2 linked regions of the Nothobranchius furzeri genome follow. The protein of the gene in region 2 purifies or fractionates together with the protein of the main gene of each other region. This does not show direct contact. Links are inferred from orthologs where the notes say so. Each region holds a gene or a part of one and is shown on either strand. Other genes may lie near its edges.

Region 1 (3,949 bases), on a different chromosome or scaffold from region 2:
TTAACAACGGTAGTTTCTGCTTCAGCCCTCTCCCCCCTCCCCCTGCGCAGCGGCCGCAAACTCACTGATGCACCTGCAGCCTCTCGGAGATCCTGCTGATCTAAACATTAAAATAATTATTTCATTTTCTGTTCCTCACTTCTGATTACCTTCAATGGTGTCTGTTTGTTGCAACCACCAGGTACAAAAACTAACTTGTTTTTATTTGACTATTTTTCAGTCCTGTATCTGTTTATTATCTTCCTGCATCTCCTCTCAGTCCTAAAGAAAAACTGCTACCTGGGTTCATATATATTCACCTTATGAGTTACTTTTGAACTGCAGTTCTAAAAGATCTACCGACCGCAAAAACAGTGGAGTGCTCGCTGCTCGCCGGCCGCACCGGTGAGGTGTGTCACCGGAGGACAAGGTGATGCGCCCCGCTCCACAGCAGTGAAACGCATCAGGCGCAAATAAAAGACAGAAAACATTAAAGGAAATGAGCCGACATGAACGATCGCATGTTGAATTAGTTTTTGAGGTGGCGACACCTGATTTGATGTTACTGTGGCCGTGCTCAGGACGCAGATGTCTGGAACACTTCAAAAATCAGAGCTTTGCATGCGCAAGCTGGTTAAGGTTAGGATGGGGGTGAGGGGAAGGTTAAATTGCAAGAGGGTAAACGTCACAATTTGGTTAAATGTCCGTTTTACGGCGGGTGTCAGTACCGACACTCTGGTACAGCGCGTTGCCCCTCCCGACGCGCAGGAGCTCGTCACCTGCCAACAGCAGGCTGCTGTCTTTTCCGAGGACTGCATCTTGCCGGTCATTATCACGTGACAGCGACTAGTCGATGACAGGCATAAAAAGTCACTATAGTGAAGTCGACTAGTGACTAGTTCATACAACCCCTGCTACTGCTCCCCAGAGTGTTCTGCAGCATAATCAGAACGTTCTTTTTGAACTTGATATCAAATTTTCGCCTCCTCTTCGTCTCCGCACGGTTAAAGTTACCCTCGCGGTCTATCGCTGGCAAATCAAAAGTTAGACTGATGACACAACCGCCCCCCCGTACTTGCTTGTTACCACATTCCACCCGGCCACAATTAAAAAACGGCCATTATTCACCTCCGCCGACTCCGACACCGGCCAAAATATGATACCCGGCCGTTAATTGAATACAGGCCTGTATTAGAGGATTTACGGTATCTGTACTTTACTAAAGTAATTATCTTGAGGCCTACTTTTTACTTTCACCCCACTACATATTAAAGCAGTTATTTGTACTTTCTACTCCACTACATCTTCCAAAAATTTTAAAAAGTAAAAGTACTTTACTTTGCATTTAATCCGACTCACAGTCCAATGGAGACTGGCAACACACCCCCTTGTCTGTGCTGGACTGCAGGTCCATATATAATAGTACTCTATTTGCACTGATCTTACCTCACATACAAATCTGCATGATATTTTTTTCCGTTGAGAACTCCGAGCAGAGTCGGAACTTCGTTGTCCCTGAAGTTTAGTGTTGAATCATAAACAGCTGCAGCTGCAAAGCAAAACACAACAGTCAGCTGGATGAGCTAATGCTACGCTATAATGTCTAAAATCTGTTCAGTTACTGACCAGTGCCTCTCAGGTTTTGGACAGTTACCCAGAATCCTTTGGTTCTGGGAAGAAGATGGTACTTTAGCTTTGGCAGACCTTTGCTCTGGGCCACTTGCATGCTGATCTGGTGCTTCTTTGGTGTGAAGCGCGTTCCTTCACAAAAAAGCAGGAACTTGTGGCAAAAATATCAGCATTTTAATTGTGACAGTTTTTTTTAAATAGGCCTAATTTTAAATTGAAATGACAAGGACCACACTAAACTCACCCAAAAGTGTTCAGGGTAATCCTTTAGGTTCTGAAGACTCTGCGTCACAGTTGTTCGGTCTTCCTCCCACTTCCTTTTGCAAAAAACTATCTCCAGGAAGTACCACATCCAGCCGATCACTGGCACATAAGCCAGCTCTTTTTTGGCTAACACCTTTGAGCTCTGGAGGGAGGAAAAAAGTAATGAAACGTTCACCTGATTGAGGTAAATAAAGTGTTGTGATTCTCAGTTTTCTCACCCCAAGAACTCCAAATCTGTCGCAGAAGGTCCAGCCACACAGAAAGTCAATTTCAAAGCTGTGGTTAAGAACCACAATTGCATTTTCCTTTCCATAAAGCGGATAGCTTTTTGGGTCTGTGTAGAGAGTGCATTCTGTCCCGGACCACCACTCCAGGGTTGCTACCAACTCTGTAGCCAGGTAAATAATCATTTGTTTACTCCTGACCTTAATTTACTACAACAATACCACCTTTTTTATTAGCTCTAAGCTACAAATGCAGCAAATTCCAACAGAAAAGAGATTACAATGTGATTTGTACGTACGACTAGCAATGCAGTAGCACAGTCTGATGTTGATCCTTCGAGCCAGCTGCTTACTGACCAGCCACAGAGGTAGAGTACAGAGCTGCAACAGGTTGACGATGAGGCCGCTCAACAGGAACACGTAGCAGATGAACAGGTGGGACAGGAACTGGGATTTCAGCAGCTGCAGGAACCCCATTCTGCCCATAAATGAGTTTAGAATTAAATCATTTATGTCACAACTTTTGATATTCAGCTTTTTCAGGGAAGATGGTCAGCTAATTTAGCAGAGGAGCGTCTCCCCAGCACCCGGAACGTAAGGGTTCCTTTGACCAGCCTGTCTTGATTCTTTCAATCAAAGGAACCTTTGAGCTCAGCTGTGTTACAACCAACCAATTACAGAGCAGCGATTAAAGCTCAGGAGATCACGTGATGGTGGTGTTCAGATGAAATCTGTGATGCGACTTTTTATCCCCAAAAGTAGTCAAATTCTTGGTTTAGCAGCTGTTTCACCCAAATGCGAGGCAGTCGTTTTTAATTGTACAGTTTACCTCAAACCGGTTTTCTGAGCTCCACGAATGAATCTTGACCTCCGGAACACTAGAACAGAATTCTCAGGAGTCCATCGCGCCACACGAACAGTTCCACTTCCGACTTAAGCCATGATTCATTCAACAAGACCCGTGTCTACCGCCCTGCTAACTATTTGTGTGTGTGTGCGTGCGTGCGTGTGTGTGTGTGTTTGTGCGTGCGTGTGTGTGTGTGTGTGTGTGTGAGACTTCCCACACGAGGGGCCACACCCATCTGAAAACTCCGCCTGTACTGGTGTGTGTGTGTGTGTGTGTGTGTGACACCTTCTAGAAATCATGGACGCAACGACCAGCCTCGCTGCAAAGATCGTTTATGTACCAAAAAGGAGAGTGTCCTGTAGCGCGCGCCTATCGAAGCCTTCGTACACGTCCATAACGGCACATATATGTTTTAGCTTTATGCTATGACAATTTAATGGAAGTTTCTGCTAGTCACGATCGCCCTCTTTGTTTTGCTACAGGAAAAGCACGGGGATGCGTGAAAACAATAGATAGGCGCATGCGCAGAGGCATTTTCTTTCTTTCTTTGAATGAATGAAAACGAAAAGGAAAAAAACAGGTTTGTGTGACAATAAGAAACACAAAAATTCCTTCTTCCTTTAGACTCTAAAGGAATTTTAGAGATAAAAATAAAGAAATAAAAGAAAAAAACAACCTACACCAATAATTAAGTTATGTTTTAGTTTAATTCCACTCATAAGGTAATTTCATCTTGCTGACACTAGAGGGAAATAAAGAATCACCAAAAACATTTTCCACAGTCAAGTATACAATTAGTGACGCTTTTGTAAAGTTTGAACACCTGTACTTTTCTTTTGCCCTGAAAAAGAAAGTTATAAGCGTGTAGCGTCCTATTCACTACAATAAAACTGATTTTAGAAACAATAACATCACACATTAGTAATGTTAAACAGAGGTTTGATCTGAACAAAAATTCAAGAAGTTTACATACAACAAAAATCACATTATTTGAAAATGGACAATG
Region 2 (3,500 bases):
ATAACCAATCAGATAAATGAAAATGCCGCACGGCGCTGTAGTTTGTTAGCTATAGTCAAAAATTGCGTCTGGCAACGACGCAAACATATTTTTTTAGAAGAAAGGCTTTTAGCGCTTCTACTTGTTATGGTTTTAAAGACATTCAAGTCATTTAGAACAGAGGAAAGAACTGCAGCGAACTCCACCGCTGTGTTCTTTGTTCATGAGAAACTGAGCGTTGCTGTTTGTGACGACCACGACGCTGTAGTTTTTTAGCAGTAGTCAAAAATGGCGTCTGGCGATAGCGCAAACATCTTTCTTTAGATGAAAGGCTTTTCTACTAGTTGTTTTAAAGGCGTGTTCAAGTCATTTAGAACAAAGGATAGAGCCGCAGCAAACTCCGCTTCAGTCGCCATGTTAATGACAAACTCGGCGTTGTGGTGTGTGACACACGCTACTCAGCGCTGATTGGCTCGGTTAGAATTCTCACGAGGTGGGGTTATTTGATTAGGAGAGTACCCAGAGCCTTTCTCTGTGCAGAATTAAACAGAGGAGGAGTCTGGTAGGCCAAGCTAGTGCCAGAGGCCCAGGAGACAATAATGGCAAGCCCCCAGGGAAGGCTGAGCTCAGAACTCAGCGGCCCGGGACCCAAGGGCGTTAAACCCCGGCGGAGACCCAACAGAGGTTTTGTAATTCGTTGACTAAATCCATATAAAGTATGGAAGTATAGAGCTGCCACCCACGCAAAATACATTATATAACAACTTTATTGTTACAAAACTATAACTTTCACTTTTGTGCAATATATTATAACATTCTTACCATAAAATTTTCACGTTTGTAAATCACTTTCTTACAATATAAATATTATATTGTACAAACATGAAAATAATATTGTTACAACATGATACTATATTGTACAAATGTGATAACATATTGTAAGAACTAGGGATGAGCGAGTACACCACTATCTGTATCTGTATCTGTTCAACCAACAAAATTATCTGTATCCGTATCTGTACTCGGAATGGGCGTGGCACAACCCAGAAGTGGGCGTGGTTTAACCGGAAGTGGGTGTGGTTTACATCAATATATTATTTTAAGTCTGAAATTGATATGGATTGATCAGAAGTTGATATGTGTATTGTTTATTTGAAAACTATTTACAGAGCAACCTCAGAATTGAGATTACGGTAAATATTTTTGATCACAATAGTAAAGGAACTATTACAGAACAAGTGTTTCAATAAAATCAGAACATTAATATTTAAGTGCATGGATTAATACATCTGAACTCATGCAGTAGGAACTAGGAAATATGAAATGCTAGAACCAGACACAACTTTATATATATTTTTTAATTTTAATTTGATTAAACTGATTTTTTCTTAACGTTCTTGGCATTTTTCCCACACAAAGTTAAACAAAACAATGTTGATTGAGATGTGTGTGTGTGTGTGTGTGTGTGTGTGTGTGTGTGTGTGTGTGTGTGTGTGTGTGTGTGTGTGTGTGTGTGTGTGTGTGTGTGTGTGAGAGATAGAGAGGGAGAGAGAGGGAGTTAAAAAAAAAAAACCAACCGGAGCGGAGGTAGAGACACAGCATGTCAGCTCTGTCTTGTCAAATGCACCATGTAAGTTACGAAAAAAGTAACTTTAAATATTCAACCGAAAAAGAGGCGAGCTGAAGAAAACCTAGGGAAAACTGAAGAAACGTGAGCAACAGTGAAGCAATCACAGCGAGATCCGTTACTGTCTGTGTGTGTGCGTGGATGAGCCGGACGGACTGCGCTCTCGGCCGGCTAGAGAGTTTTGTGTGTAGGGAGGGGCGGGTGCTCTATGTGACTGGCCAAACACAGAGCGTGAAGAGAGTCAGTTACCCAATGAGGATTTTCCTTCAGCACGATTACAGATATTTACGAGGTTTACTCGTTTCATGCTCGTATTCGTCAAAAATGCTTTATCCGTACCGGATACTCGTCTGAAACGAGTATCTGACTCATCCCTAGTAAGAACAATAAAGTTAATATGTTATAATGCATATCACTCCAAGTTTTTTTTTCATGTGTGGCAGCTTTATGCTTCCATAGAAATAAGCTCTTTGCTGAGATGTTAATTAGAGGTTTGGTGTTGATCTGACCTCATGGTGATGGTGGTGATGATCCTTTTCTTGTGTAACCATAGAGAAGATGGTTTCCATCAGGTAAAAGATGTAGATCCCTCCGATTGTTGCCAGCATCTTCCATATGTAGTCTGGAATTTCTTCATTCTGTCTAGAATGTCGGTGACGTGCATCATCATCATCATCTGAGTGAATGTGTAAACTCAGAAACTAAAACAAAAGAAAAAAATCCTAAATTTATGTTCTTATAATCAGTGCAATAGAAAATCATTGTCAGGATAAAAAATAATCACTCACCATAGGGATCAAGTGCAGCAGGGCATCTCCGGTGAGCGATCCTACAGCCATGCTAATGCAGAACTGGATGCACAACTGGAAAATGTTGGTGCACGAGGTGCACAGCAGCACCACGATCCCAAACATGGATGCCAGGGTGATGATCACATTGGCGAGGGTTGCGTAGAGGTACCCTGCCACAGGAAAGCAAGAGAAAAGAGATTTCCTACTCTCCTATGTCATGGACCACAGCTTTAAGAGAGCGTGTTAGAATTAGGATTTCCCTTATACCCAATCATTTCTTAACATCAGATGAAAGTTTAAAATTCTGGCATGAAAGGCAGCATTTACTTTAGGTCAACAACAGACTTACGGTCGGTCTTGGAGAGTTCATCTGGGGTCACCGAGTCTGTGGTGGCTGCACAGGAGCCACTCAGGATCTGCTGGATGAGCGCAGGACTGAGCTGAACCACTTCAGATCGACCCATACTGGAGGAGTTTTTATCAGACAGACCAAAGATCCGGACCAGTTCTTCAGCTGAGAAACAGCGCTAGAAGAAAGCAACAGAAAAAACTTTGTGTTTTTGTCTCTCTTTGCTCAAATGTTATTAGCCGTCATGCAAAAATAAGACAACAATCCTGATTTGTCAGGAAGTGGTTTAAAAACCAGCTCCTCCATTGGGATGCCCCATCCTGGTCCTGGAGGACCAGTATTCTGCATGTTTTAGTGGTTTTCCTTGCTTCAACACACCTGATTTTAAATAGCAGGTGATTAACAGGCTTCTGGGAGCTTGGTGTGTTGCTGAACAGGTGATCCAACCACTGAATCAAGTGTGTCGGAGTGGAGAAACAGCTAAAATACGCTGGATACCAACCTTCCAGGACCAGGATTAGGCACCTCTATGTGCTTACATGCTCCCATGTGCTGTTACTCTCATGAGACTCATGACGTTCATAGCTGCTTCTCTTCCTCCGATAATGGTCAGCATGTTCATGGTCGTGTCCACGATCTTCCTCTTGTCCAAGCTTCAGCCTCCACATGAGGACCTTCAAATCTGCAGGGTATAAACAGGCAATACAGCTTGGTGAAATAAGTACATACTGAATACAAATCACTACCTAATACT

Evidence for each region. The genes of interacting proteins can lie anywhere in the genome.
Region 1: the proteins of slc39a4 (region 2) and 1-acyl-sn-glycerol-3-phosphate acyltransferase delta purify together in Homo sapiens (affinity purification with mass spectrometry; 3 studies listed by BioGRID and IntAct, with this or other methods). This does not show direct contact. The link is inferred for Nothobranchius furzeri from reciprocal best matches to the Homo sapiens genes SLC39A4 and AGPAT4.

What each region holds. Positions count from the first base shown.
Region 1 is NC_091752.1:17,897,645-17,901,593, reverse strand, and holds the start of 1-acyl-sn-glycerol-3-phosphate acyltransferase delta, read right to left. Parts: upstream 2,801-3,949; 5' UTR 2,583-2,800; coding exon 2,396-2,582; intron 2,261-2,395; coding exon 2,091-2,260; intron 2,015-2,090; coding exon 1,853-2,014; intron 1,760-1,852; coding exon 1,606-1,759; intron 1,529-1,605; coding exon 1,426-1,528; intron 1-1,425. UniProt on the Homo sapiens protein: Converts 1-acyl-sn-glycerol-3-phosphate (lysophosphatidic acid or LPA) into 1,2-diacyl-sn-glycerol-3-phosphate (phosphatidic acid or PA) by incorporating an acyl moiety at the sn-2 position of the glycerol backbone.
Region 2 is NC_091759.1:4,708,895-4,712,394, forward strand, and holds part of slc39a4 (zinc transporter ZIP4), read right to left. Parts: intron 3,429-3,500; coding exon 3,286-3,428; intron 2,925-3,285; coding exon 2,747-2,924; intron 2,568-2,746; coding exon 2,395-2,567; intron 2,308-2,394; coding exon 2,116-2,307; intron 1-2,115. UniProt on the Homo sapiens protein: Selective transporter that mediates the uptake of Zn(2+). Plays an essential role for dietary zinc uptake from small intestine. The Zn(2+) uniporter activity is regulated by zinc availability.